Rhinolophus ferrumequinum: one gene and its partners. The protein of the gene in region 3 interacts with the protein of the main gene of each other region in a biochemical or structural test. Links are inferred from orthologs where the notes say so. Each region holds a gene or a part of one and is shown on either strand. Other genes may lie near its edges.

Region 1 (7,391 bases), on a different chromosome or scaffold from region 3:
CTCTCCCGCAAGAAGCCCAAAGGAAACAATGCAATTATGGAATTCAGGATCATCTTCTTAATTTCTCAGAGGAAACTGAATTCCAAGGATATTAGGAGACTTGGTTAGAATTGTATCGGTCTCTTGACTCCTGACTCAGTGCTCTCAATCAGTGTTGTCCACTCGTAGAATCTCTGTGGCTCCACCTCCCTAGTCAAACTGAGGAAAAGAATAAGGGTCAGAAAGAACGAAATATCTTTTGGGCACTCTTGGAGATCCTGAACCCAGGATCGAGTGCGTATAGCAAGTGAACATATGAAGTATTTCAGGTGAGTCATCAAGTGACCACTTCTTATCTTCTCTAACAACACGCATAACAGAAATTTTAGTCAACCAGGAAAAGCCCCAAGCGATAGTATAATTATATATTATTATTTCTGTTGAAGAGCAAAGTGTTTGTAAACAAAGCTTGAGAAAGAAATGATGAGTAATTTACTAGAAGGACATGGCGGGGAGTGGTCCCTTTCTTTTCCCTCCCTTTGCCCCACTCTGTGTGGCGCTCACTACCTCACTTTGTCACTGCATGGGTTATACTGACCTAGGTTAACCTTCGGAAGCACTGCCACCTTCTTGCTCAAAAACCTTCGATGGCTCTCCATTATCTACCCAAAAAGCCCCCAGTCTGATGTTCAAGGCCTTGCATAATCGATCCCAGATGCTACCTTTCTGTCTCATTTCCCACTACTCCCCTGTCTGTTTGCCCAACCTCTGGGAGCGCCTTCCAGTCCCCACAACAAACATGACACTTTCCTACCCCATGACATGTGGGCAAAAGAACCTTTTGCACGTTTCCTTGCCTTTATTCTTCCTTTGCTTTCAACTACTCGTTTCCTTTCAAGGCCCAGATTGGATACCACCCTAATTCTAGTTGAAAAGGAGACTTTCTGGGAGCTTTTCATTCGTGCCACTCATTTGGCACCTATCACATCCTTTGTTAGGTTTACAGATGATTCCAACAGTTCCAAAACTTGTCTCCGATGTCTCCAGCCCTCAGAAGCACTCCTTTCTTTGGCAGGTTCAGGAGTCCTACGACCTCAAGTTGTCTGACTCAACTTCCGCAACTCTCGTAACTCCTTCATGCCCGGTCTCCCAATTTAAGTTCTAGAACACAGATTTTACCTTTCCCTGTAGGTCCAGGCTTTGGCTGTTCTCTCTCTCCCTTTTATTATTATTATTATTATTATTAATTTTTAAAATGTATTTTTCAATTATCGTTGACATAAAATATTATATTAATTTCAGGTGACCCTTTCATTTCTTGACTCTCGGTCACTCTTCGGGGTTAGTCTCAAAATATAACCAACTCTCTCCATCCTAAAAGCAAAACAAAACAAACATAAAACTTCCTCTTTCTTCCACCCTGTTTTTCTTAAGTCAAGGTACCCTTTCTCCTCCTCTTTTCCTGATATACTTGTTATCGCAGTCTGAGCAGAGGGTCTGCAGCACAGCTGAACTGACATCTGGAAGATCAACTTTTAAGTGCCTGTCGTGCGGGGCAGCCTGCGGGGTCTCTGGTCCCGCTCCCCACATAAGAATGCAGGATATGGTGAGGCCAAAAAGGAACACCCAGGGAGCCATAGATGGGGGAGTCATACAACTATATTCTCACTGGCGGCATCCACCTCTCTGCAATCCGCGCTTGCTAGCTCAGCCACCATCCTCTTGTTAGCCTCCATTTTTCTGCTAGCATAGCCACAGCAGTTATATCAGTGGCCAATAGGTCACTGGTTACAGCTGATGGCCAACTAGCCACAGCTGATGGCCATGCCATCACAGTTGATGGCCATTTACTACCTGAGCCAGCACCTTTCCACGTGAGGCTGAGAGCCTGGAAACTGCACTCCTGGTTCTGTCCCCACAGTGCCCAAGTCCAGTCTCTTTTCCTATTGGAACATCTCTTTTCCACGGTCTTTCCCACCTATGCCCCTGAATGCTCCATCACTTCCCCCGACCCCCATCTGTTCCATATTTCTCAAGGTTTTTTCTTCGGTCCACTTTGCAAACTTTCACATCTATGAGGAGAATACTTAGATTCGTCTCAACCCCTAAATTCTCTTCTAAACTTCATTTCTTAGACTGTGTGTGTGTCCTGCCTACTTCTCCAAGATAGCAAATTCCAAAGTTGGTTTATTATACGCTTCCTTTCCTGGGTCCTCTCCAAACCCTTCTGTCTCCTGTCCTTTCAGTCTCAGCCAACGACATCACCACCTTTCGGTCATCTATCTTTAATGACTCTTCCTGTGTAGCCTTCCCTGCTGCTCCATGTAGGAACTGGTCCCAGCTTAACAGGTGATCTTTGAGATAAGTTTCAGTAGAGTTGTCAGTGGACCTCGTGATAGTCTTGGAGAACGCAGGAAAGACGTGAGGAAAGAATTTAAAACAGAAATTGGGCTCCAAATTCACTTCTTTGATGAAATCTCCAGTTAGCCTAGACCTTTCTCCATTCCATTATTTCCCAAAAGTAAAATTACCCTCTTGAATTTATATCCATGTTATTCGTTTCTTCTTTCTGGATATGCTATTTGCTCTAATTTTGTACCATTGCCATATTTATAAACTGGCCGATTTTTGCCAAATTGTAGCATTTCTTAAGGACGGGGACCACGCACTCTGGGGAAAGACCGTGGTGTCACCTTTGCCACCTGTGCCTGATGGTGTCCTTCTGAATGAGGCTGTTTCCTTGAGGAACAGATGACAGGACCGTGATGGCAGAGGCCTCCTGGATTTTCTTTGTTGTCTATGTTCAGCGTGCTGGGGTGGGGTGTCTCCTGCACCACCCTTACTCTGCATTTACTACAAATGCGCTAAGTATCCTAATTATTAAGGTGTTACCCAGGAGAGTTGAGGCGTTTCCACTTTTCCAATATCTGGGTCAACTCAACAATCTCACATTTCCAAAAAAAAAAAAAAAAAAAAAAAACCTCTTAAGAAACCCCACCCCCGCGGTCTGGAGGTAACACAGTGCTGGAGGCCTACCCATCTTCCGATCCCCACCCCCACACCTTTTGTTGCAGTTCCTCCCCAGGACATTGGCTGGTTTGAGGACTCTAACCCTGACATTAGTGCTTCCCTTGGAATGCAGAGACTTTGCATCGGAGCCAAGAAGCTAGTAGGCGGACTTTACCCTCCAGGACCCACACCTAGCCACTGAAGGCTGGGGGGGAGGGTAAGGAAATAGCTCCCGCGAACGAACCCGACTGTCAGCTGCATTTAAGATTCCTCTTCAACCCTGAATAGGTCCACAGTAAATATCTGTTGAATAAATAATTGAGAACAACATCCAGGGCCCGGCGACATAAGCTAAATCAATCTGCTTTTCCCCCTGTCTCAACGGTTACGATCTAGGGAGCCAGCTTTAACAGCCGTGCTGTTGAACCACAGCTAGAGTAGGAGCCTCATGTTTGCTGAGCCCCGGCCTGATCTTACTCTTCTGGAGACTGGGATCGATTTCCCCACTTTTTAGAAAGTGCGTTTACAATTTGGGCTTGAGTCCCCTTCCGTTCAGAATGAGGCTCACTCCTATTCGATGTCAAACCACATCCCCCTTCAGCATAAACTTCATCCCATTCATTCATTCATTCTACACCTACTAAGCGCCCAGGACGTGCCAGTCCCTGTTTTAGGCGTTTGCTATAGATCAAGGAACAAAACCGGAGAGATCCTTGCCCTGGCGGAGCTTACGGTAGGACGAGAGACAAACGATGAATATGATTTTTTAAGATTAAATTACGTAATTTGGAAGGTGATTACTACGGTGAAAAGGGTACCAGGCTAGAAAATGATTTGTGGAGGCCAGGGGATGGGGAAGAGAATCCTAAATTGGGATTCTGGCTCAGGTTGGGCGAAAAGGAGACGAACTGAGGTGGAGGAGGCTCTGACATCGGGAGACAGATGTTTTCTGCAGAAGTGACGGGAGAGTAATCCGCTGTATGCGGAGGTAGGTGAGGGCTGAAAGGGCTCTGGACAGAGATTCGGGTTGAGAACACCGGAGGTGGCGGAGGGGGGGGGCGGGCTATTTTCCAGCTGAGGCCAGAGGATGCTCTGGCGGGCGGCTCCCGGGGCCGGGGAGGGGGGGCGTCTCGCGTGGCCCCCAAAATGGCCTCCTGCTGCCCCTCGCCGCCCCGCCCAGGCGCTCCATCGCCCGCCGGCCCACGTGACCCGGCCTGCACCTCCCGCCCACCCCGGCTGGCGACCCCGGGTCCCTGTCCCCGCGGTGGCGGCCCCGCCCCTCGCGGGAAACGGACCAACCAGAAGAAGGCTAAGGCGGGGCGGGTGGTGACGGCCAATGGGGGTGGAGCTCCAGAGGGGAGTAACAGGTTGGTGGGAGGGGGAGAAAGAAGGAGGGAGTGCGGAGGGACGGAGGGGGAGGGCCTGGGAGCCGCGCATGCAGCTCTGCCAGAGCCGGAGCCCGAACCCGAACCCGAGCTCGGGAGCGCCGAGCCCGGCTGGGGTGAGTGAACCGAACCGGGGCAAGGACACCTGAGAGGCAAGCGGGCCCTCAGGTGTAACCCCTGAGGGGCGGGGGTCGAGGCGATCCGAGATACCTCCCTCCAGGGCACAGGTGCTGCATCAGGGAGAAGACGAGAGGTGAAGGTAGGGCGGGAGTACTGATTAAGAGCTGACTCTCACTCCTAGGTGCCAGGTGACGGGCACCTGAGACTAAGGCTATTCCCAGGGCATGAAAGCGGGTCAGGGCCAGGATCTCTCTTGGGGTCAGAGGCCGGTCCCAGGGGCAGAATTTCTCTAGGAGACTGGGGTGCTGGGGGGAAGGAGTTCGTCTCAGTTGGTCGAAGGGAACTGCTGCCAGGTTCAGAGGCATAAGGGGGAGGGCGTGGAGAGCTGTTGTTCCTTGAGGTTCTGCCCCCTGACTGCCAGTCTAGCTGGTGCTGACAACCTCCCTCCTGGCTTTGAGATGGATCTGAGGTGTGGAATCTTTCTCTAACCATTCACCTACAGGTGACGACAGTTGCAAATAAGAGACGCTGAGGGGCCGAACAAGAGGGTAGGGCAGTCTCTTTGCTCGGTGTGAAACTGTTTAAGGCTTGCATGCCAGGGAAAATGTTTCCTTCTTCCTCTTGAAACAGTACTCTCCCAGGGAGAGATATGAGGAAGCAAAGATCCCTAGGCCTACAAAATATCTAGAACTGTGTCTTTCTAATGAAGCCTCTTTCTGGGGGCTCGTGTCAAACCCTCCCCCCCAAACACACCGTACTTTCTTCTGTGGTTCGAGATGGAGCCATTGGGTGAGGTTTGGGAGCCTAACCAATTTCCTTGAAGCCTCTTCGAAGATCCCCATTATTCCCTAAAACGCCACCAGGCATCCCTGACTCCGGGACCATGACAGACAGGCAGTGGACACAAGTGGTGCAGGACATAGGCAGGACTCCTCAGGAGACCACAAAACTAGAGGAGTTACCACCTCCAAGTCTCCAGCTAGATGGGAGGTGCACACTGGGGCCCCGACAAGACTTGTGACAGAGATTCCCTTGCCCTAGGCAGGTAAGGGAACCAGAGCCAGCCTTAGCTCAGCCCCTTTGATGCCCTGCCTGAGGAAAGTGGTTGTAATTGGGAAATAATTAGTAACCGCTATGTTGTAGACAGGCTGCCTGCAGGTGCTTTTGCACCTCTTCTTTCATCCTGGATATTTGGGAGTGGGGGGCTGGCGCTAGGGGACTGCTAAGCCAGAGATTTGCCTGACCCTAAGAGGATTCTGGCTTCCTAGAACCCTTCCTGCCTTCTCCAGGCTGAACTGCATGCCTTCACCTCTGTGGGAGGTCAGGAGGGAGGTAGGGCTGCTTCTCTATGAGTGGGGAAGGGGAAAACAGGGGAAAACGAAGGACCAGGGAGGTGGCCAAAGTTAGTGTGGGATCAGGAATGCATCTTTGGGAGGGAGGGGCAGAGGGAGACCAAGGCTTCCTGTCACACACGGCCTGTCACTCATTGTTTTTGTGCATCTTCTCCCGCCGGCTCCCTCTCTGTCTTGTGCCTCCTCCTTCAGAGCCTTGGCTTTGGCTTCTAGGCTGGACAGAGGCCCTGCCCATGGTTTTGCCCCTCTGCCTCCTCTGGTGTGGAATTTCTCGTGTCTGCTTTGCAAGCAGCCAGTGGAGTCTCCCTGGCCCTCCCCTTGCCTCTCAAACCAGTCCAGCCAGTTTGCTGGGGCCCAGTTCCTGATTGTGTTTTCTTCCGCCACTGGCCAGGCAGCTCTAGCCTGGCTCTCAGGTTTCGGCTTTTTCAGTGGACCGAGCCAGCACTCCACTTGGGGGGTTCTTTCTGGATCCATGGGGGACCTTCTTATCTCTGTAATTCTATTGAGAAAATAGGAGCCAAATGATCAAGGTCGCTGAGCTGTCCTTTTCTATTTTGACCATGTGCTTTTCTTGTTACCTCTGAGGGGAGTCTCATCTCGACCTCCAGTTCTCCCATTTTCTAAATCTGCCAGGTGCGTAGCATCTAGCATATTGCCCGGCCCTGTGTATGTGTATCAGTTCTTCCTCCACACACCGAAACCACCCCACCCCCACTTCCTGCCAGGAGTCCAGGGACCCTGTCACTCCTAGTTGGAAGCCAGACGCTATGGCTGGGCCAGAGGTGATGGAATTGGGGCAGGGCAGGCTAATGAGTAACTCAGGGAGAAGTGGCTGGTACAGGTGCAGTGTCCTCCCCCAGCTTGTAGGCAGGACTGGCAGAGGCCGACAGATGAAGCTGAATTCACTTGTGGCCTGGGCTCTTCCCGTTGTCCCGTTGGTGAGGAGCGGCTTGGGCACATGCCAGGGGAGGGAAAAGCAGGGTCAGACATCTGGTGAGAGCGAAGGCTCTGGACTCCATGTTGCCTGGCGCTGGATCACTGTTTACCTGCCTCTGGGCCTTAGGCAAGACCTTGGAGCTGCCTGCTTCCTGGCCCCGCCCCGCCGTTCTCTGTAACTGAAGGCGGATGGGTTTCGGGTTTTCCATGTTGAATCATTTAGAGCCCTGCTTTCTGACCCACCCCAAAGATTCCTTCAGTCCTCCCGGCCCCTGACCCACATGTCCTGGGACTGGAGGTGGTGGAGGTTAGGGAGTCACTGGGACCTGGGGGTGCATTCCTGGCTGCCCCTGACCAGCTTGGTGCTCTTGGGGGAGCAGGAGGCCGGGCACTGTGCGGAGCGGAGCCTGGGAACGTCGTGACCTGGATCTGGGAGAGCAGTAGACGTACTGACAGGGGAGAGCTGCAGCATGAATAAATCATGTGACTTTGGAGAGCTGGCAGTCTAGGCACATCTGGTTCCAAAATTATGACTGACTAGGGCAGGGAGTCCAGGCCAGGAGAAGGTCTCGTTACTGGGGCAAATGAGAAAGGACTCTGAGGGATCCGC
Region 2 (7,681 bases), on a different chromosome or scaffold from region 3:
CTGATTTAGGTCTAAAGGTGTCCCATCTCTGATCATCTACTTTAGTCCTCCCACTCTCCATCCACAGGGAAGTGGGCCTTGAGTCATCGCAGGATTAATTCAAATGAGATGTCACAGACTTCCTGACCATAGGGGTGGCTGGCCAAGTCAGCCCCAGGGATCGCCCTCTCTGTATATCTTTGAGAATCTCTTCCACTCCCACAGGTCTGAGAAAATGAGGATCTGTTGTCTGCACCCTCCTTCCCCATGGGCACAGCCCCTCCTAGGCAGGGAATGCCTGACCTGAGAACTGTAGAAACTGTTGCAGGTGGGGGGTGGGAGAATAATAGATGCAGAATAAGCAGAGGGAACCCCCTCTCCTCCTGCACTTCTCTTTCTTTTAAATTAAAATATTTGTTTCTTCTAGGGCTTTGCTCATGCTGATGTGTGGGAAACCATTTATGCTTAATATTTCCAACCCATTAGCAGCCTGGCATGGGGCTCTGCTAATCAGGTTCCTTAGTGCCAGTGCTGTGAAGAGTGGGGTTGTGAGTGTCTGCAGCAGCTTCTAAGCCTCCGCTGGAGAGGAAGCATCTAGACAAAGGTCAGGGCCCAGATAGGCTCAGAGGTGTCCTGAGAATGACTCATCCAGGTTAGGAGGCCCATCTCATGGTAACTTGTCCTCCTACCTTCATTTTGGTAGAGACACCCGAGTAGGCCACCTGATCACCTTTGGTGAAATAGCAAGACACCCCTCTTCCCCCCCTCCCCCCCCCACTCCTACTCTAGCCTGCTCTCTCCTCACATCAGAGGACAGAGGGTTCCTTTGGGAGAACATTCCTGTACCAGTGACCCTCACGCAGCATTTATTGAGCACCTCTCAATGCGTGAGAGTCTTTCTCCCACATCACCTGCTTCCCCTTGCAAAATCCCAAACCTACACTTTATTCTGTCACCAAACAGGTGGTGAGCGCCTTTGGCCTGGAATCTAGGGGATCCCTGAGGACTGTTGAGCTGTAAGCCTCTCTGGTTCTCTGTTGGCTGCTACTTCTGCAGCTGCCCTGGAAGACTTCGGGTTCTGTGGCTTTGATCTACACATGGAGTATGTGGGGTGCCCTCATTTAAGGGTAACCAGGTAATATTCTCAGAGAGGAGGCTATGCCCTGAATCCAATCTTGAAGTATTTGTCTCTTGCCCCTCTTGACATCTCATGATGCTTTTGGTCCTACTAGATAACTCAAACTACTGGCAGATCTACAAGATGCTGGGAGGTAAAGATACCCGCCTCTCCCCACAAAACATTTGAGAGAGGAGAGGAGTTTCTGCTATTAAAAGGCATGGAAGGATCCAGCAAATGCCAGTGACTGGTTCATGCTCCCACTCCCCTCATTTCTGGGAACTCCAGGGCCTGAGACACGTTGAGTACCTCTAATGGGGACCTCAGCACTGAGCCTCAACAGCCATCAAACTCACAGCACTAGACAAAGCTGACTTTTCTCCTTCCAGTCAGGGAGAGCCCATATGGGCACCTGTATTCCGGGCCACCAACAAGCTGCTGGTTGGCAAGAGTTTGGGGGCCTCCTCTTTCCTTCATTGTCCATCTTGGCTCCTCAACCTCAGATCTGAGCCATGGGGAACCTTCTCCAATTTGCTGGAACAGGACATCCTAAGCTGCTCCTGTTGTGGTCTGGGCCACCAGCTCCCCAGCCTGCTGCTGCTAGAAGAAGGCTAGGATGTCAGTAATCAGTCCACAGCATCGCTCCACGTGCCAGGCCCTTCCTGGGAGGTGTGGGGCTCATTTGGAAAGAATCACATTTGAAGCAGGCAATTTGCAGAGAGACAGGGAGAATGGAGGAAGGGAGAAGTGCTAGGTGGCCAACTGGGCAAAGCCCTGTTTCAGCCAGGCCATTTGTGCCCATAGTTTCCCGCAGCCCAGCCTTCCCACATGGCCTGCTCAAGCCCGTCTGCCCAGCTGTCATCCCCTTTCGTGCTCCTGAGCCCTGGAGAAATGCCAGAATTTCCCTTCTCTGTCCCTTCTGCCTTCTGGGCCCCAGCTGGCCCATCCCCAAGATGTACAAACCTTCCAGCTGGAGGCTGGCTTGGAAGCAGACAGTGTAAGCAGGGCAGGGGCTAGAACTGTAGGCTTGCGTTCATGATTTAGTATTCCAAAGCCAAGCATAGGTGGGCACACTTAGCGACTGAAATGTCACCTGCTTCCGGGCCCCCTTGCCTACCAGAAAGTCATCTCCCTGAAGTAGACTTTAGACGTAGGAGACCCATGCTTGACGCAGATCTGTCCCTTTTCTAGCTGGTTGTTTTGGGCAAGTCCAGTCCAAGTTGAACCTTCTGAGTCTCCACTTCCTCATCTGTAAAATGAAGTGTTAAGTAGGGTAATTTGAGAAGGAATGAGTAAACCTGGAACTGCAGTACAGATCTTCGTTTTCCTTCTCATGCCCTCTCCCTTTGGGTCCCCTTGGATGCTGGTCAAATAGGAGCTGCTCTTGTCTGCCTGAGGGGACAGGGTGCCCCCCCAAGGCAGCTCCACCCTGCCCAGGAGCAGCCAGAGCCCTGAAACACCCAGGAAGGGGTGTGTGAGCCCATATCTCTGTGAGCCCATATCCAGGGACCCAAGGGGGGGTGAGTGGAAAATAACTTAGGTCAGAGGAGGCACTGTGAGGCTGCAGGTGGAGGTGAGCAGGTGAGGTCTCATTTCCACTGCTTTGTCCCAGAAGCCCCCAGAGTAGGTGTGTTGTGTGTGTGCAGGGCTTTTCTCCTGCCCAGACCTGGCCAGGTTTGAAGGAGGAATCCCCATGGAAGATTGATGTCACGGACTTGCCTTCCCCTCCCCCAACCTCATCCTTGGTGTTTTAAAGAAATTATTTGGACATAGGAGTTAATGGAAGTAGCTTGCTAGAGTGTGGGCAAATTCATCACTGTCTCCTTGCATTCCAAGAGCAGATTTGTCTTTCAGGGTGAGATATCCTGGAGTGACTTCCAAGGTCTGAGAAATATAGGCTCCCTTGGGAGGGCAGGGTTAGGGGCAGCTTGGGTAGGGATTTTGGGAACCTGGGGTGACTGCAAAGTGGCCTTAGGGATGGGCCGGGAGGGCTTTCCTGTTTGTTTTTCAGTTGTGGAGGGAAGGGAGGCAGAGGGTGTTGGCATTGCTGGGAATCCTGCTGACCCCACCCCCTGCAGGCCACTGCTCAGGGTGAGGAGGGCTGCTTTTGCAGCTTTTGTTGGCAGTGATGAAAGAGGGGCAGGGGGGCTGTTTGATGGGGTAGTGCTCTGGAGAGAAGAGGACTAGCGCTCTTCCCTTTCATCTCCTCATTGGAGCAGCGCAGCACTTCCTGAAGGTGGCACTCAGGGAGGAGCTCTTTTGAAAGCACACGGACCTAGTGCTGTAAAGCGTGGAGGCTGGGAGGTGGGGGGATGTGAGCAGGGAAGATAATCATGCAGGTGGGGGGCAGAACTGTCTGGGTTAAGAGAGGACTGCTGCCCCCCCGCCCCCACAGACAGGCCTTCCCCACAATCTGTGTGTGTGTGTGTGTGTGTGTGTGTGTGTGTGTGTGTGCCCTCACTCCTACATTGAATGCGAGCACAGACATACAGCTATGAAATGATTAGACGGAACATGACGAGAGACTGCGGAGGCTTGTTCCCCACCTCTCCAGCCAGTCAGATGGTTTTCCTCAGATGTTTATTTGGATTTTATTAGGTTGGTGCAAAAGTAATTGCGGTTTAAAAGGTTAAAAATAATTGCAAAAACCGCAATTACTTTTGCACCAACCTAATATTTGGTTATCTCTCTATTCTTCATTCTTGCTTCTTCCTCTTCCCTTGGTTTCTCAGTGTCCTGTCTCTTCTCTCTCTCTCTGAACTTGAAAATAGGAAGTGTTGGACAAAGACCCTTTCTACTAGCTGCCATTGTTCAGCATGTAACAAGATGGATTTAAATCAGATGAAAGAAAGAACTAGGAGTGGGGAGTAGTGGGTGGCGAGGAGAGAAGCCGACCACTAGGACCGGCTGTGGAATCCTATAGGCTCATAGACTGTTGGAGCTAAAGAGACCTGACGGACCTGCAGACAGGGAGCCAGAGGTCCTTTTGCAAACAGCTATTATTGTCTCTTATAATCTGTATCATCAGTGGGAGTTTTGGAGGTGTCCCACTGGCACCTGGGGGAGTTCTGGGGAGAAGTGGGGTCTCTCCTTTGCTCACAAGGCTGCAGAGCCCCCACTGCACACTCACTGAGATGATTCTCTGAATGTGGAACAGCCTCTTCTCTCGAGGCTCAGAGGAGGCAGGGATTTTGCTACGCAGAACATAACTTCTCCTGAAGCCAGGGACCTATGCAGCCTGGAGAGCCCTCATCAGAGCTCGGGCTGGTGCCCGGAGGCCAGGCTGCAGGGCCCTCATGCGTTGTCCTCCCAGATGGATTGCTCTCTAGACATTCCCCTCCTCGGTGACCCCTGGGGAAGTTCAGCTCTGATTAGGCTCTGGCAGTGTATAAAGCGGGCAGCCTAACGCGTGTCCCCTTTTGCTGGGGCAACTGGAATCTGCGTTTAACACTCCTTCCTTTCTTCCCCCCACGACGGGCTTCAGCGAAACCAGACAGCAGGGGGCACTCGTGAGTCATCCCAGGAGAAGATTCAGGACTGCTGTCTGCAGCCTGGACTCTGAGAGCACTGGAAATTTTGCCTGTCCACGTGTCAATCTGAGGGTAAGCAGGGCAGACCCTTTGAGAGCTGGAAGCAATCTTTTTCCAGCAGGCAGAGACAGAGACTTGAGAGAAAACTGGCTTTTCTGACTCGTCCCTGATTCCTCAGGCTAGAAGGAACCTGACTTCTGCCTCTGGGAGATCAGCTAGTAGGGCAGGTCTCCATCCAGGCTCCATGGCCAGTGCCAGATGGGGCCAGTGGTAACTCCTGGCCCCTTGCCAGCCCCAGCAGCTGACCCTGGTTTGGCTATCTTTGGGGCGCTGAATTTTCTTCAGAATGACTTCCAGTTGAATCTGTGTGGCTATGGCCCATGCCTTGCCCACTAGGTTCTTCACAATTGGGGTGGGGGTGGGGGGCTTTTTCTTTCTCCCTGATCTGACGCAGTCCTCTGTGACTGTTCCTGGACTCGTCTGCGAGTCAGATGGGGATGAGGTGAGGCATGGAGTGCTGAGCAGGTCGGTGGTACACACGTGGTCCTTTCCTGACCTGTAGCTGACACAGCCAGGGCTTTCTGGGCAGCAGCTGTTTTCAAGGCCCCACTTCTGTTTTCTTGCCAGTTGTCTCCCTCAGATGTCCTCATCTCCACCCAGTCATGCTGAAGCACCGACCCTCAGGAATTCCTCCTTCCCAGTGACAGAGCCTGTGTGGGCATTGATTTACGGGCACAGGGAGGGTAAGATGCCTGCATGCAGTGCCCAGAAGAAACGCCTGGCCTTTGGCTCTGGTACCTCCATGTCCTGTCTGTTCACAGAATGGGGAGAGTCCAGGCCAGGGTGCTAGTGGGGAGGCTGGGTTCTCTGGACTGGAGACAAAGGCTTATTGCCAGCAGAGCTGAGGGCACAGGCCCAAGTTTCTGCATTTATTCTGGGGGAGGACAAGTCCAAGTTATCCTCGAACCTGGTTTCTGACATCAGAGCCCAGAGTCACTGGTTCTCCCTAAAGTCCAGCTCTGTAGGGCCTCAGGGTTACTTTGAACATTAAGGCAGCAGGTCTTCCAGACTATGGAGGAGGAGGGTTAGAGGAAGGGAACGATAAGGACAGTGTTGGGGGCCCTGGCCAGGTCTGGCATGAGAACTGCCTCCTCTCCCTCAGTGTTTTCAGGGTCCTGACAGCCCCAGCCCACCCCCACTGAGTCATGACCTTTCAAGGTCTCTAGGGCTGTAGAGGTTAGGTGTCTCCCAGCTCTTTCAACTAGGGCATTTTCCCCGAGGTTTCCCCTAAGTTCTTCCAGCTGCAGTTTTAGCCCACCCTTTAGCTTGTGGCACATACTGGAGACCCCTGGGACACCCACCTGTGCAATTCGGGTGTGACTGGACCAGTGAGGCACAGATATGTGGAAAGGTCTGCGTCCCAGAGCAGGCTATTCATGGTTCTCAAAGGTCAGAAGTGTGACTGGGCCCTGGCGGAATGTTGGTGTTTTCAAGAAGGAAGACGGTGAGGCTTTGGGAGCAGTCTGTAGTTGGTCAGCCATATCTGAGGTCTCCTTATGCAAATAAGGCCTCAGCTGGACCAAGAAAAGACCTTTCAGAGTCACTGTGGCCCCGCCTATGTGGTCCTCTCATCCAATCTCTTGTGTTGCCTCCCCGAGCCTGGCGTCTGGCCCTCTGTGTAGGGACAAAACCTTTTCCATTCTAAATGACTGTTTACCCCTTTTCTCCAGTGTGCTGGGCGTTAGTGGGACATCATCCTGCTAAGGGAACCTCAGGCTCCTGAGACGGAAGTGAGGGAAGGCAGAAGTCACAGGCTCATTCCTGATCTAGAAGTGAGTTGGAAATTTACTGGCACAGGTGTTAGAAATGACCACTCCTCACCCACCCACCTACCCACCCACCCACCCACCCACTACCATCCCAGAAGCCTCATTTTCATAGCCCCTCCTGCTTAGGGAACTAGGAGTTTGGACTAGCTCAGTGATGGCTCCCTGATACGGAATCTGACGGCCTGTGGTGAGAAGCGGGATATAGAAATCATAATAATAACAGCTCCTATTCTGAGCACTTTCTACGGTAAGGGGTTGGTCTAAGCATTTCACATGCTTTATCTTGTATAATCTTTAAACAACCCATTAAATCATGATCCCTATTTTACAGATGAGTAAACTGAGGTACACACTTAATGACAATAACAATTAAAATCGTAATAATGATGATAAAATTTTAACAGCTTTATTTTTTTAAAAACTGATCCATGAGCAATCACATTATGTGTATATTATGAAGTCCTGGGAATTCATTATATCATCCCCATTTTCAGCTAAGGAAACTGAGGTGGAGAGAGAAGTGACTTGCCCAAGGTCACAGTCTTAGAAAGTGACCAAGCAGGAGCCGAACCCACTTCTCTCTGATTCCAAAGCAGCCTGTGCTCAGGATCCCTTAGCAACACTGCCTCCCAAGGGGCCATCATGGAGACAGCGGGTGGTTATGGAAGAGAGTTCCGTTGGCTTTTAAAAGCAGGGTGCTTGTAAACAAACAAACGAAATAACAAAAAATAAAAAAAGATAAAAAACCAAAAACAAACCAAAAAAGCAGGGTGCCCATGGGCGGGGCCCCATTACCTTTCAAGGTAGTAGCCGTGACATCTGCCATTCTGGGAAACTGTGGGAGAAGCACCCCTCATCCCCACCTGACAGTGAGGGAAGCTTTGATGCTGTCTTCTCATCTACCCAGGCTGTGTAAACACAAAAACTGCAGGAAAACAGATGCTGGAACAGGCTGGACGGGGAGGCAGGGGATGTTTGCTCTGGCCCGAAGCTTCTGCCTCCCTGCTCACCCTGAGATGTGTGCCCCCACCTTGGCAGCCTGTCCTGGGGCTGCTGTCAGTCTCTGCTCTCTTTCCCTCATCACTGTGAATCTTGCTGGGCTGCAGTTGCCTTGGTAACTTGATGGGAAGCTCTTGAGGTTTTCTGGAACCAGAAAGGGCTACGGAGAGAGAAACCGGGCTCTGTTAGGCTGCTGGTCACAAAAGGGAAGAAACCATCCCAGTGCT
Region 3 (6,952 bases):
CACCCAAGGTGTGATTAAACCTACAGATTCCAATGCAGAGATTCTCACTCAGGTCTGGAGTAGTTGGGAGAGTTTCAGATTTTACTAAACTCCCCAAGTGATTTTCCAGGCATCACTGAATCACTGAACAAACCATTCACTGGACACTTTCTAAGGAATTTTTTTCTCATGTGTGGACTACAAAATAGAATTTGTTCACCAAATAAAACACTGAACTATACTACAATTTCAGAAGAGAACATAGTGGAGGAAGGGATAAGCTTTTCTCTCTTGCCATACTAGAATTAAAAGGAAATAACAATCTGAAATCCTGTGAATGCAACAATCTACTAAAATGGGAGAAATTTTCTGCCAAATCTTGCCCATTTGAATGATCTTCATTCATCATTTCAAAGGGACTTTTCAATCGAAGGAAGCTGTAAATTCCTTCCTACAAGCTGATAGCCTCATTCTGACAAGAAAGTCATAATACAAGAAAAGTCAAGGGTCTTAGAATGAGAAAAAGAATCTGGGAAGAATTTGAAGAATCTGCTATTATTTGGCTATGTGTTAAATCTTCCCAATATCCCTGATCACTTATGTATTCTGAACCATAGTCTTGATCTTTAACAATGACTTTCTTAGATCAAGAATGAAACCACTTTTATTAGTTCGCAAATTCACATGTTCTCATCAAAAAGCATGCCCTCAAATCACAAGTTGGACAATTTTAAGTAGATGCAAACAGATGACTTTTCATTATTACAAGGTTTTCCTGTATACAAGCATTTTTTCAACTAGAAATAATGTTGTTGGACCATTAGATTCATTTAACATCAAAGCAGAAACAAAATAATCTGGGGTATTTTAGAAAAATTGTTTCAAATCTTCTTTCTATGACCTCTTCCATATACATATATATACCAAGCAACAACTTTTTTTCTTAAGGTTTATTTCAACTACTTTCAAAAATAAATTTGAGTCAGTATAAAAATTAAAAAAAAAACACACACTAAACTCAATATAAACAGGACATCTAAAATAAAACCAGTTAAAAGACGCACAGAGAGATTTTACCAGGCATCTACGCTTAGTTAATTAGTGCAGTTTGAGCCCTGGGTAGCTCCATTCTTTTCCAGCCAAAGCAAAAAAGAAACTCTCGTGGGTTAATGTTGTCTCTATTAAAAGAAAGCCCATGCACTCTAAGAACCTGGAACTATAGTGCCTTGTTCACCAGGCCAGTGACCAAGGAATTTCCAAATGTTTGTTCATATTTTGGGAACATGATTTTGCTTTTACTTTATATTCCTAATCAAACTTTTCTGTACTCTACAAAAAAATGTCATTAACCATCTCCAGAAGCTCAGGGGCTGGAGATAGGGGGAAATGGAGTATTGTTTAATGGGTACAGTTTCTGTTTGGATGGATGAAAATGTTCTGGAAATGAATAGTGCTGATTGCACAACATGGTGAATGTACTTAATGCCACTGAATTGTATACTTGAAAATGGTTATAAAGGTCAATTTTATGTTGTGTATGTTTTATCATAACAGTAAAAGAATAAAAGTTTTGAGAAACAAAAAAACTCACCAGCTGGTATGCTACCTGTCCAAATCTTGCTAGGGAATCTGCCTGCCACCCTGGGGCGGAAGGGCTTTCACCCACCAGCTGTAATGTGTTTGTCCTGGTCTGGCAAAAAGAAGGTTTAAATGCAGGACTGGATGGAAATGTGTATCACTTCATTAGACTAGACACAAAACCTCCGATGGTGCTTCGCAAACATAAACATGCAAATGATCCCCTGGGGATCTTGATTCAGCAGCATATAGGGCCTAAGATCCTATATTTTTAACAGGTCCCCAGTGATGCCACTACTGGACCCTGGGACTCATGTGAAGCACCAAGGCCCCAGGGCACTTGAAAGTAAACAGAATGTCACCCTATCAGCCTAACCATCTAGAACCAGGTCCCCTCACCGGCCAACACAGTGGGTTGATCTTATCTTTCAAGCGAATTGGTGGTTAAGCACTTAATTCACCTCCCAACCACCATCTGTAAAAGTGCGTTGAGAAACTGGGATAGAAGGGGGTTCCCGAGAGAACCCACCCACCTCGGGGAGTAAGCAGCAGCTACAGATGATATGTAAGCGTAATTGACACGGGCAGTTTCGCAGAAAGCCCTCATGCAGACTTCAAAACAATCTTGAAACTACCCTTCTCAGGCTCGAAGAATGCCTGGAATTCAGTGGCCTTTATCCAACATAAAGATTCGCAACTCGGTTTTGACTGGGTTCCCTATAGAAGAACCTTGCAATGGAGCCCTAGAGAACTGACAACGCCCAGCATGTTGACAAGTTCGCCTCCTCCCCCTTACAAGTGGGTCAGAAAGTGAAAAAAGAAAAAGAAAAAAAAGGTTCTCCAAGGCTGTGCCGCACAGGAGTGCACAGATCCTGGGTCTGCGGGCCCGCGAGCCCTCCAGGGCGATAGTCAAGCTCCCAGGTGTGCGGAGAATTTTCAAGGCCCGCAGCTGAAACTCCGCTGGCAGCTCAACTCACCCTGGACCCGCGTATACCCCAAGGCACCAGCTCCGGCCCCCTCCAGATAGTACTGCAAACAAGGGCTGTGCCAACAGAAACTCAGAGGCTCTTTAAATCTGGTTAAAAAGAAGCTCAACAGGAAGTGAACCAGTTCCCATCCCTTGGGGGCGATGGAGCAAGGCCAGGTAGGAAGGAAAAAGAAAGTGACTCTCAAGTACCTGTAGTTGTCCCAGGTGCATGCTCGAACCCGCTTCCAGAGGATTCCCCAAGAGAAACCCTATGAAGCGCTGTTACACATACCCCCGGGGGGCGAGAGTGGGGCGGGGAAGCAAAAATCTGCTAAGCATCCCACAAAAAGGGATAAAAAAAATCAATACCCAATAAAGTAGAACCCGCGGAGTTCTGGAGCGGAGGCATCAACTCGCATTTACTCGCGCTGCCCCTCACCTCCGTCCGCACAACGGATCCAGGGTGCCGGCCACACACCCCGAGAATCCATCTCCCTTGCTAAAGCCGGGGCGAGAGGAAGGTCTCCTGGCGACGCCCGGGCTGCCGCGCCTGGCAGCGCCGGGACGCCCTGCCCGCGCTCCCGGGCCGGGGAGGGGAGGGCGGTGGGTGCACTACTCGCCTGGAGGTGGGTGGCGGCCGCGGTCGGCGGAGTCGGGCGCAGGGTGAAGGCAGCTCTGGGCGACGCTTGGACGCGCTCCGACGCGGCACTGGCTGCTGGGCCGCTGTCGCCTGCGCTCCCCGCGCGCGTCTCTGGCGGCGCCTTGTCCGAGCCGCAGTGCGGGAGGCTGCCCCGGGAATGGGCGGGCGTGAGTGGCCTCAGCGGCCGCTCCTGTGTATTATTGTGACTCAAGCTATTTCCTGTTTGGAGGTTTGGGAGAAAGAAAAAAAAAAATCCAAGGTGGGGGCAGGGGAGTTGTGCAGCGGCGTCCCGGAGGGGACAGGGGTGCACAGCGGCTGTCACCTGCTTCCACGAGACCCCGAGGGTGCCAGGTGCGCGAGCCCCGGCAAGGAGACGCAGTTTACTGCAACTTTGGGGTGTCGGGAAGGACGGAGAGGGTCCACCCAGCGGTGGGCTAGGGGCTGCGGCCGCAGGAACCGCCTGGTCACTCCAGCCAGCGCGCCCACTGACCTGCCTCTTCCCTTCTCTGTAAAACTGCGCTGAGCTTTCTTCCCGCCCAGGGCAGGCGGAATGGGCTGTGCTGCTTCCTTTATTCCTGCCTGGGGTGAGCTTTCTAATCCTCTCCCGGAGTGTGCGCTAGAAAGGGGGTCGCTCCGCCGCTCCTCAAAACACCACAGGTGGGAGGGTTGTGGGCCATTGTGTGTTTGGTGGGGTTGGGGTCTTTGTTTTTCGGGCAGGGATGTGAAGCAGGTTAAGGATTTTGGTGGAAAGTTTTGAGATCGGCTTCCGTTCCCCTCCCCCACCAACCTCACCCTTAGCCGGGATCACAGGGTCTGAGGCCCCAATCCGGAAATACCGGTTCCTCCCGCTGGGACAATAGGTGAGGGCGGGAGTGCTAACCCCGGAGCCTGCTTAGTCACAGGCGGAATCCCTGCTCTGCCGGGAAGGCAGAATCTTCCTAGTTAGTGCCCCACTGCACCTGGCTAGCAGGTGAACCTTTCATCCAGTCTTGTTAACAATCCTGGGAAGGTAATGGGGAGTTACTGTTTAATGCGTGCAGTTTCAGTTTAGGATGATGAAAAGGTTCTGCAGGGTGGTGGTGTTTGCACAACAATGTGAATGAATGTACTTAATGCCACTAAATTGTATGCTTAAAAATGGTTAAAATGGTCAGTTTTATGTTATGCATATGTTACCATAAAAGAAAAATTCCTGGGAGGGTCATGCCTCCTTTTTTCTAGACCGCTTTGCTTATGACTGCCAAACCCTCCTTCCCTCCTCCCTACACAAACCTTTGCCTGTAATGGAATGAGTAACAGTGCTTCTTAGACAACTCAGGTTCACTTACTTTAGACCTCTGTGGGTACCTATCAACAAGTTATTCCAAGAAGTGGGTAGATTGAGCCTAGAAAACAGTACAGTTTTTTAAAAAATGAAGAGTAGTTTGTCAGAAACAAAGTGTTAGCAAGATGAATAAAGGTGTAGATAGTATACCACTTTATCTAAGAAAGGAGAAACAAACATACATGCGTTTGCTTATGTTTTTTTTTTAATGGAACGAGAAGTTAATAAATAAAATGGTTACCTATTTGGGAGAGAGGGAAAAGATGCAAAATACAAGATAGAAGCTAGACTTTTCTGACTATATCTTGTTTTGTAGGCTTGACTTTGGCATGATATAAATTTTACATAATTATGAAAAACTTAAATCAAAACTTTAAAAAGCAAAATTCAACAAATGAATGTGGGTATCAACTTGGCGGCTTAACCATGTAAAGAGAAATTTTGTCAAGTGACTTTAAAACACAGTTATTTGCCTCTACATCCCTTAGGTATATACTCTAGGATGGAGAGAATGTTAAAAACAAAAACTACAACAACAACAAAAAAACCCTGCTTTTCAGTCATCATAGTGTAATTATATTAATGTCTTTAAGAATCAAGATTTTTTTCAGTATAAAAGATAAATATAAAATCAGAAGTAGAAGTTAATATTAAGTTTGAATTGGAATTATAATTTAGAACTCATGATATATTTTTCTTTAAAAAAAATAATTCCAAGGTCTGTTTTACTCAAAACACCTACCACCAAGGGACCAACCTGGTAGGTGGTCACTGCAACAACTTCTAGATGGTCTCTACCCAGCTTTATGCAGAAACAACGTGAAAGAGCCTCACCTCGTACCTCCCACCCCAGTTTCTCTGTTAATGCCAGTGTGGGGAATCCATGGAAACTTGGTGCCCAAGCATACACCACCCCGAAGGGTGGTTGAGTTAATGTTTCATGGTCTAACCTTCCACCAGTGGGGGATAAAAGCTGATAAGTAAGTATTCTTCCCTTTTCCCCCAGGAGGAATGATCCTGAGACTCAGTCTATAACACCTCTCAGAACAGGCCCCCCTGAGTTGGCTCTCTCTGCGTCCCAGTCCCTCACTCCTTTCCCGAGGACCGTGCTCCCCAATAAAGCCCACGTTTCAAGGCTTTGCTTCCTGGGAAACCCAGGCTAAGATATGTACAAACTGTATCTCGAGATAACCAAATAGTTGGTGAGGAAATGATTCTACTCGGTCAATAAGGAATGAACAAAATTTGAACCCCAGCATTTCCCAAATCCCTACTAAAATAATGGATCAAGGCCACTGACATCACAGAAAACATCGCCAGACATTAGGTGCCATCTGATGGAAATGCACAACACTACACATGATACAATCTTGCCCCTAAAAAGCAAATCAGAGTCTGATCAAGGTTCTAGATCCAACTGCCAATTTATAGAAAGTACTGGAAGAGAGGAATGTGTTAACATTACTACTGGGGTAGGATCAACAAAATCCAGAATGTGGGAAACTCGAAAAGGCAAATGACCCACTTTCCTAAACAAGTAGCAAGGCATTCAACATGAAGGGGGAAGAAACCTATAGATCAAAAGACTTAAGTAATGTCCGTGAAATACAATGTGTATTTCTTGTTTGGGTCCTGATTCAAGCCAACCAGCCACTAAAAATTAATGAGATAATTGGAGAAACTTGATATTCCCTAAATTAGTAAAAACTTAGGAAATTTAAAAAAATGTTTTAATCCATGCCATTGACTTAATCTAGTATACGGTGTTGATGCTGCTACCACATGTATTTGGGTGGTACATTTATTTTATATACACCCACATATGCATATACACAAAATAAAACACCTGTTGAATTTACTTCTGTATCTGAAATTAACATTTCAGAGAAGAATAGGATTTTGGATTTTCTTCGAATGTGTTCAGGTTGGAAGAAAAGGACTCTGGCTGGCGTATCTGGTCACTGACATTATCTTTGTTTTTTCCCACCCACTCTTTTCATTCCGGGTACATGCTGTATGTATTGCTTTGTCTGTGCTTTCCTGTCACCAGCAAAATGCATCTTCAGTAACTCATAAACATTTCCACTCTGAAGACTAAACATTTCAAAATCTGCTCAAGGAAACAAAGAGACGCCTCCATGGGCCACAGGGGCAGTATTGTGAAAAATGGGGCAAGAACTCTAGGTTCTGACTGAGAGCTCAGCAGAGGTTTCCTCCCTGCCACTGGCACCAACGCAGTCCCATAGAAACCATCTTGCTTTCCCTGGAGACAAAGCCCTATTCTGCTGCCTCCTGTGACAGGGAGCTCTTGTGTTCTGTGTCCTGAGGTTCTGAAACTGATACCGTGCTTCACCGGCAGGCTGGAGAGACAGGGTGGGGAAAGGGTCAAATCACAGTCTAAAGTGGGGCACTGCCTTGATAAGACAGGTGTTTTCTTTACTGGCAATATGTGCACCACAAAGCC
Region 4 (7,481 bases), on a different chromosome or scaffold from region 3:
CACCAAACCTGTTTTATTTTCAGAGCAAATTTCACCCCCCCGCAATGAAATTATTAGTTTTTCCTTTTTTTTTTTTTTTAGTGCCACAATCTCCACCCCAACAAGAATACCAGCTTCACACTTAGATGTCTATCTTGACCATCACACTTATTCTTGATCCCAGGTACAAAGTGATGCTCTACCAATATTTTGATTTATAAAACCAATAGCTGGATCAAATATATAGTGAATGAAAGAGAACTGACTCTGGGTGGTGAACACACAATGTGATATATAGATGATGTATTACAGAATTGTACACCTGAAACCTATGTAACTTGAACAATTCTCTGCAATAAACTTTAATTGAAAAAAAAAATAGCCCACATTACAGTTGGGGTTTCAATCTAGCAATGAATGTCTTGAAGTTCTTCACTCACCTAACCCCCAGTAAATACAATCCTTCAAGTTCAACAAAAGTAGTTAAGAGCTTAAAGTCTGAAGGCAAAGGAGAGAAAAAGGTCAAATACACAAAACCATACCGGGATCACCAGGAAGCTTGTTAAAAAGGCAAAATTCCAGGCCCCACTTCTGACCTATTAATCAGAATCTGTATTTCAGTAAGATCCCTAGGTGATTCATACTACATTCAAGATTGGAAAGGTAACTAAGTTACAGAACAGCTGTAAGCCTGAAGCCTAAAACAAAAGGTGTAACAAAAATCTGCATGGGGTTTTTACTCTAATATTTTCATAAATAGATGAAAAAAAGCCCACTAAATATTCTAATGAAGTAAGCCTCAAAATTCAACTGAAGAAAACTTTCCTCTGGAAGGTTCCTGGGAAAGTGAAGGATATCAGTTAATTAATGAGGTTACAATTAATCTTTTATCATTTTGAAAGGGCAATAATTCCAACTTTATCTTTAGAACACGAAGAATTTTACGTTGACATCAAATAGGATGCAGAAAACTTATACGAGGCCATAGGGACCAATCAAAAGAGAATTTCAGAGAAACTCCCCAAAACTAGTTCTGATGTTGGAATATCAAGAACTGCTGCTTTTCTAGTATACATTCCCTGATAAGCTGAAGTAGTTTTTCAATCCAGCCCTCCTGTAACATATTTGCCCTACAGGTGTTCGCTCACCTTTAAAAAGGGTTCTAATAAGGTCTACCTTTTAGAGTGGCTGATTAAATGATATAAGGTACAAAACGCTTTTAGCACAGGGCCTCCCACACAGGAGGCACTGCCCATCATTCCCCTAAATAACCCGGAATTGTCTAAACCTCCCCATCCTGCTCTCCATCACCTAACAAAGGAGGCATAAATGCAAAACTACAAAAAAAAAAAAAGTGTTGCTCTGCCTAAGGAGGTATCTATTACTGTGACTCAACCATTTAAAACATTAAAAAAAAATCACACAGAAAATAAAGATCTATACGTACAACGGAAAAGAAACATTGTTACACTTGGGAATGCGTAGTTTGAGAAATCCACCTCCGTCTAGAAAGAAGTAGTTTTCAATCACAGCAAGCATCAACACCAGTGCCTTAATGGGAAGGGTTTCTCTTTTCCAGGGATCCCAAGAATACACCTGTTGTGCGCGAGGGCCACACACTAACCTGGAACGCTGCCTCGTCCCCGCCCCGCCTCATTTCCCAGGTGGGCAGTGTGCCCAGCCCGCGCCAGGGCCGGCCTGAGGATGCCGTGACTTCTCCGGCTGAGTCGCTTCACCTGGGACACGAGGGGCCTGGAGTCGCTCTTCCAGTCTCTTCCAGCCGCAAAGTGCAGAGGCCATTTTGGCCCCTCAACCCACCTCTCCCCGCACTTCCTCCGACGCAGGCAACATGTCTGCTGGACGGGGAGGTGTAGACCCCAGCGGCCGGGCCGGGGGCAGGTCCCCGGGTACATGAGGCCCCGGCGCCCAGGAGCACCCTCGGCAGGGCGCGCTGGCCCAACAGGGACCGCCCGAGGCCTTTTGGTCACGGCTGAGAATCCCAGCGTGAGCAGATTCCCTCGAAATACAGCCTCCCTCGAAATTAAATCCCCGCCCCCCAGCTGAAATCCACAGCGCTCACCCAACTCCCACTAAGTGGATTCAGAATAGCCGGTCGGCCCACACTGTCCTCCAGGAATAGTATTCCACGGATTCAACCCGGCCACCCTCTCTCTCCGGGATACCCAAAAGGGTGGGGTGGAGGCGGAAATAATGAAGTCCCCAAGATCTAAGCTGCCCCCGCCAGCGAGCGGCGCCCTCCCTCCAGCCTTGGGGGTCCAGACCCGTGAGGAGCCGGGCGCTGTGCCCCTCTCCGTAAGGACCCCTCAGAACAGCAGCCCGGAGAGCAGAGCGCAGGATTCTCACTGTTCGTGAACCTCCCGCCCGGCAACTACGAAAAGTTGCCCGAGCCGCCTGGGCGCACAAGCGTTAAGCGTTTCCGCGGAAGGAGCTGATCGGAGCCTCCAAGTGGCCCCTGGCACCCGGGGCAGCCTCCCAGTTAGCCCCGCGCTGCTCGCTCCGCGGACGCGCGCCTCTCCGGCTCCCGCGAGTTACAGCCCAGGGACGAAACCGCCACCGAAACCACGGCCGGGTGCCCTCTCCCCGCGCCTCCCCTACTAGACAGAGGCGCCGCGGGGACTCTGGGGGTACCGTGCGCCCGGGTCCCGCGCCCAACTCTCCCGTACTCACTGGAGCCCAGCCCGACCTACCAAGGACGACGGGACCCAGGGAGCTCGCTCACCTGGCGGGCGCACCTGACGCTGTGCGGGCCGTCAGCCCGCAGCCCGGGACAGAGCTAGGGACTCAGCTCACCTCCTTTTCCTCTCGCCCCCCCACCCCGGCCGCCCTGCCCTCGGGCATGCGCACCAACGCCAGGCCCGGCTGCGGGAGGGTCCGCGGCCGGGTGCGGGTGAGTCTCACCTGCTGCACCTCGCCGGGGCTCCTTGGCGCTCTGACCAGCTCTCCCGGGAGTTCCGCCGCCTCCGCCGGAGGAAGGAGAAAGGGGGAGGTGGACGCAGGCTAGGAGGTACGCAGGCCAGGAGGTGTGGCTGCGTCCTCCCTCGGTGACCCATCCACCTGAAACTCGGATGGGAGGGGGAAGGGAGCGGTGGAGAAGAAGGCGGGAGGAATTGGCTCGGCTCCGCACACCCTTGTAGTGCTCTAAGTTAAAGGAAAACTCCGCATTTCGGGCCGAGGGGCGGGGATCCAGCTCAGAGGAAGTGCTCGGGTTCCGGGGCAGGGGCTTGGGGGGTTGGGGGGGGCCTAGACCACCCTGGGGCGTGCTCCGATCTTCGCGGGCTTCTGATAGAACAGTGGACTGAGGTCTAGATAACACTGTTTTCCTCCAGAAGAGAGCTCAGCTTTCGGCAAGAAAAAAAGTACGTCTTCACACAACACTTGCCTGCTCCAAAAATTTGGTTCAATTTTGTTAGAAAGAAGCATCCAGATGTGAAAGATTTTCAAAAGTTATGCGTAAATTTAAGAAATGTTTCTGAATCTCTGGATCGAGGGAAAAAGACCATTACTCTGAGTGGTTAAATGAAGGTGAAGTACTGTAGATACTGGTGTCAGTAAATTTGCCATCAAAATTAAGTGCATACTAACGGTATACAATATTACCACTTCAGGCTCCTCTGCTACCCTTCCCAAATTTAACTGATATGATGGAGAATCTGCTCTTGGGAGGATTTAAACTATCTTAATATTCTCTTTAGCTTAAAAAAATATAAACTTAGTTCTGTGTGCTGTGTTCTATTTCTTGATCTGGAGGCTGTTTCCAAAAGAGCGTTCTCTTAGGAAAATTCATAGTCTACATTTCACGATGTATATATACACTTTTACTCGTATATATGTATGTTGTATTTCAATATATATTTTTTAATTTTACTCCAGAAGTTGGCAATTTTAGTTCTTGCTACTTACCATCTGCATTGAAGGCTGGATTTTAGGTTTCTTAAATTCTGCCTCACTTTGTATTCCAAGCTGGAATGTCAGCATTGCTAATCAATTTCTGTACAATCCCACCCACTTCTCTGCCTTTAATTAAGTGGTTAGAGCTGTGACTCTCATACAATAGATCTCAAGGCATAATTCAATAGTTAAGGAAGTAAAAGCGTTATATAAATATAAGGTATTTTAATAGATGAGAGCCTTAATGGGTAATTAATCTGATTGGTGTTGTTTTCATGGAAGTCATTGCTATAATTATTTTAGTATGACTGTAGTTTTTGAATGATGCATTTTAAATTGATGTTGTTAACACTGGGAAGTCAGGTTAATCCTCTTAATGTTCCCTGTCAGATTACTGAAATCTCCAAACATTCCACTTGGTTTATAATTAAACAAGAGAACATTTTCTAATACTCTTAGATTTATAAACACATCTATTATTTTATAGTGTACTTTGACATGTTCTGAAGAGAACTTAGTTTTTTCCCCCGCTTTTTAAAATTGAAATATGTATCACATACCATAAAATTCACCCTTAATGTTAAAGTGTACATACAATTAGTGGGTTTTAGTACATTCACAAGGATGTACAACTATCACCACTACCTAATTCCAGAATGTTTTCATCACCCTAAAAAGAATCCCTGTGTCCATTAGCGGTCACTCCCCATTTCCCCTTGCTTCCAGACCCTGGCAACCACTAACCTACTTTCTGTCTGTATTGATTTGCTCTTTCTGAACATTTTATGTGAATAAATATGTGGCCTTTTGTGTCTGGCTGCTTTCACTGAGCGTAATATATTCAAGGTTCATTCATGTTGTAGTACCTACCAGTACTTCATTCCTTTTTATGGATGAATAATATTCCATTGCATGAGTATACGACATTTTGGTTAAACCTTCATCAGTTGAAGGAAATTTGGGTTATTTCCACTTTTTAGCTATTCTGAATAATGCTGCTATGAATTTTAATGGACAAGGTTTTGTGCGGACATATGTTTTTAATTCTCTTGGGTAAATTAGGTTTTTTAATTAAACTTTTTATCACTTTAAGAGATTAGCTAATTCATATGTTATTTTTCTTATTCCCATACCAAACCTAAACCCAAAGGCATGTTGTGTTAGAATGGAAGCTTAGTTACCATATTTTATTTGCTTTCCTTATTCATTCATTCAACAACCATTTTCTGATTGCCTACTATCTGCACAATAGTAAACAAAACGCCCAAATCCCTGTCTTGGAGAGGCTTATTTTCCTGCTGAATTCATGCATGTGGAGTAATAGAATTTATTAAGTTGAACTATATGAAATTGGAAATAATTGTTCATTTTAACTACAAAATGGCAGTTTCATGTGGTTCAACTTAGGACCAAGCTATATTTCTATTGGAATAGTATGCCATTTTTATTCCATTCAGATTAATTTTCCAAATGATGCTGACAACATTGAAAAATCTAAAAACTGTGTTCTTTTAACTCTTGCCTAGCAGTGTGCATATTAGGTAGTAGTGGAAAATGTTCAAAAAGAAAATCCAGCCTCAAAACCTAAACACATCATTCTTCAACAGCAAAATTTGTTGGATGTCCTGTTCAGTGTAGTCATGTTACCTAATCATAAATCGTAGCAAAATTTTAATTATTTTTAATCAAATATTCCTTCTTGACAACTCAGAGCAGTATTATGGACTATGACCCACTGTTGAACATTATTTGACTAAAATCCTCACGAGTCAAAGTAAATATTATTCTCAGAGGAACTATGGTTAGAAATTTGTTGATTTTACCTGCTGTCAAATGATAAAAACCAATTTGTTTTTCTTCAGTTTTATATGTAAAGGAGAAACTTAAGAGCTCAGAATTTGGTGTCAGAAATATAGGTTCAAATCTCATGTTGCCACTTATTAGTTGGATGGATTAATCCTTAAGGGAAATTGAAGTACATAGGCTCATTTTTCCCCACTGTACATTTGGGATATTAATAAATGGTACTCTTTTCCTAAAATTGTTGAGAAGCACGTGGACAATTCACCAAGAGAAACCATACCACAAGCTGGGCCACAAAACAAGTCTCAATAAATTTAACAAGTCGTTGCTGTATCCCATCTGCCTGAAACAGTCCCTGTCATAGAGCTATTCCATAAATACTCATTGAATGAGCAAATGAATGTAACCCTGTTTCTCGAATCCAGCATGCCTGTGGAGTCTTGTCCATCTTTCAGACAGTCTTCTGTCATTATGAAAACAGCACATTCCTTAATAGCATTTCAGGGCTTACATCTCTAGTACTAGGTCTTAAAGAAGAAAAGAAGGGGGATTAGAATATTTCCACTCTGCCTCACCTGCTTAATAAATGAATCCAAGGATTGGTATTTGTTCAAGGGCAACTCAGGAGTTGCTGACGACCTGGCCTGAAGGGCCTCTAATTTTCCCACCCAATCACAATCACAAGGTGGGAGGCTCCTAGGGCAGTTTCCTTGGACAAATTAATGGAGGAATTTATGGGGAAGTCATCAGGAAGGCAATTTCTGAGAGGATGTTGAGGATGATGACGTATGGTGAGTAAAGCTCTATCTCAATTGCTATGTATTAAGCAAGATCCTCCAGGAGGAGCCAAGGTTAAACAGTCAGTTCCTGAACTGGAACTTCAACAAGTGGGATAATAGTAATAATAATTGCCATCCTTTATTCAGGGTAACCATGTGCAAAGCACTGTACTAAGTGCTTTATGGACTTTTATGTCTTTCTTTTAAAAAAAAAACGAAAAAACAATCTTTTTTTTTTTTTAATTTTATTGGGGAATATTGGAGAACAGTGTGTTTCTCCAGGGCCCAGTCATTATCCTTCAATCTAGTTGTGGAAGGCGCAGCTCAGCTCCAAGTCCAGTTGCCATTTTCAATCTTTGGTTGCAGGGGGCACAGCCCACCATCCCATGCGGGAATTGAACCGGCAAACTTGTTGTTGAGCACCCACGCTCTAACCAACTGAGCCATCTGGCCACCCTATTTTTTGTCTTCACAACAATCTTACGATGTAATATTATTTTTCCCATTTCTGGAAAGTAAAGCTCAAAAAGTTTTGATCATTTACTCACGATATCAGCTAAGTTGTAGAGTCTGGATGCAAACACAGGTCATTTAATTCCAGAATTAATGTTCTTAACAGTTTTACTGCTTTTTGTCTCTAAAAAATACCCAAACTCCTTTAAACTACCCATAAAAAGATTTCAGAGTGCAACCATAGGTTGCATAGGTAAAACAATCCTAAAAAAAAAAATTGTACAAAGGAGTGTAATGGATAAGAATGAACCAGTTAGATAGAGCAACTCCTGACAACATGGTGAATTTTTTAAACATAATATTGAACACAATAAACAATGCCGTCCCAAAATACAGTATGATTCCATTTATATAAAGTTCAAAAACAGGCAAAACTAAACTACATCATTTAGGGATTCTATACATAACAGCAAAACCGCAAAGAAAAGCAAAGAAATTATTACCATGAAAGTTAAGATACCATAGTGGTTACCTTAAGAGGAAAAAAGAGAGTAAGGA

The links.
Region 1: the proteins of TJP2 (region 3) and CGN form a complex in vitro, tested with the Homo sapiens proteins (2 studies listed by BioGRID and IntAct, with this or other methods). The link is inferred for Rhinolophus ferrumequinum from reciprocal best matches to the Homo sapiens genes TJP2 and CGN.
Region 2: the proteins of TJP2 (region 3) and CTNNA1 form a complex in vitro, tested with the Homo sapiens proteins (2 studies listed by BioGRID and IntAct, with this or other methods). The link is inferred for Rhinolophus ferrumequinum from reciprocal best matches to the Homo sapiens genes TJP2 and CTNNA1.
Region 4: the proteins of TJP2 (region 3) and OCLN form a complex in vitro, tested with the Homo sapiens proteins (3 studies listed by BioGRID). The link is inferred for Rhinolophus ferrumequinum from reciprocal best matches to the Homo sapiens genes TJP2 and OCLN.

Annotation. Positions count from the first base shown.
Region 1 is NC_046305.1:51,461,236-51,468,626, forward strand, and holds the start of CGN (cingulin), read left to right. Parts: upstream 1-4,384; 5' UTR 4,385-4,489; intron 4,490-7,391. UniProt on the Homo sapiens protein: Probably plays a role in the formation and regulation of the tight junction (TJ) paracellular permeability barrier.
Region 2 is NC_046307.1:13,645,633-13,653,313, forward strand, and holds the start of CTNNA1 (catenin alpha-1), read left to right. Parts: upstream 1-4,679; 5' UTR 4,680-4,698; intron 4,699-7,681. UniProt on the Homo sapiens protein: Associates with the cytoplasmic domain of a variety of cadherins. The association of catenins to cadherins produces a complex which is linked to the actin filament network, and which seems to be of primary importance for cadherins cell-adhesion properties.
Region 3 is NC_046295.1:36,007,324-36,014,275, reverse strand, and holds the start of TJP2 (tight junction protein ZO-2), read right to left. Parts: upstream 3,022-6,952; 5' UTR 2,944-3,021; coding exon 2,894-2,943; intron 1-2,893. UniProt on the Homo sapiens protein: Plays a role in tight junctions and adherens junctions. Acts as a positive regulator of RANKL-induced osteoclast differentiation, potentially via mediating downstream transcriptional activity.
Region 4 is NC_046290.1:44,890,952-44,898,432, reverse strand, and holds the start of OCLN (occludin), read right to left. Parts: upstream 3,004-7,481; 5' UTR 2,899-3,003; intron 2,838-2,898; exon of another isoform or gene 2,688-2,837; intron 1,626-2,687; exon of another isoform or gene 1,604-1,625; intron 1-1,603. UniProt on the Homo sapiens protein: May play a role in the formation and regulation of the tight junction (TJ) paracellular permeability barrier.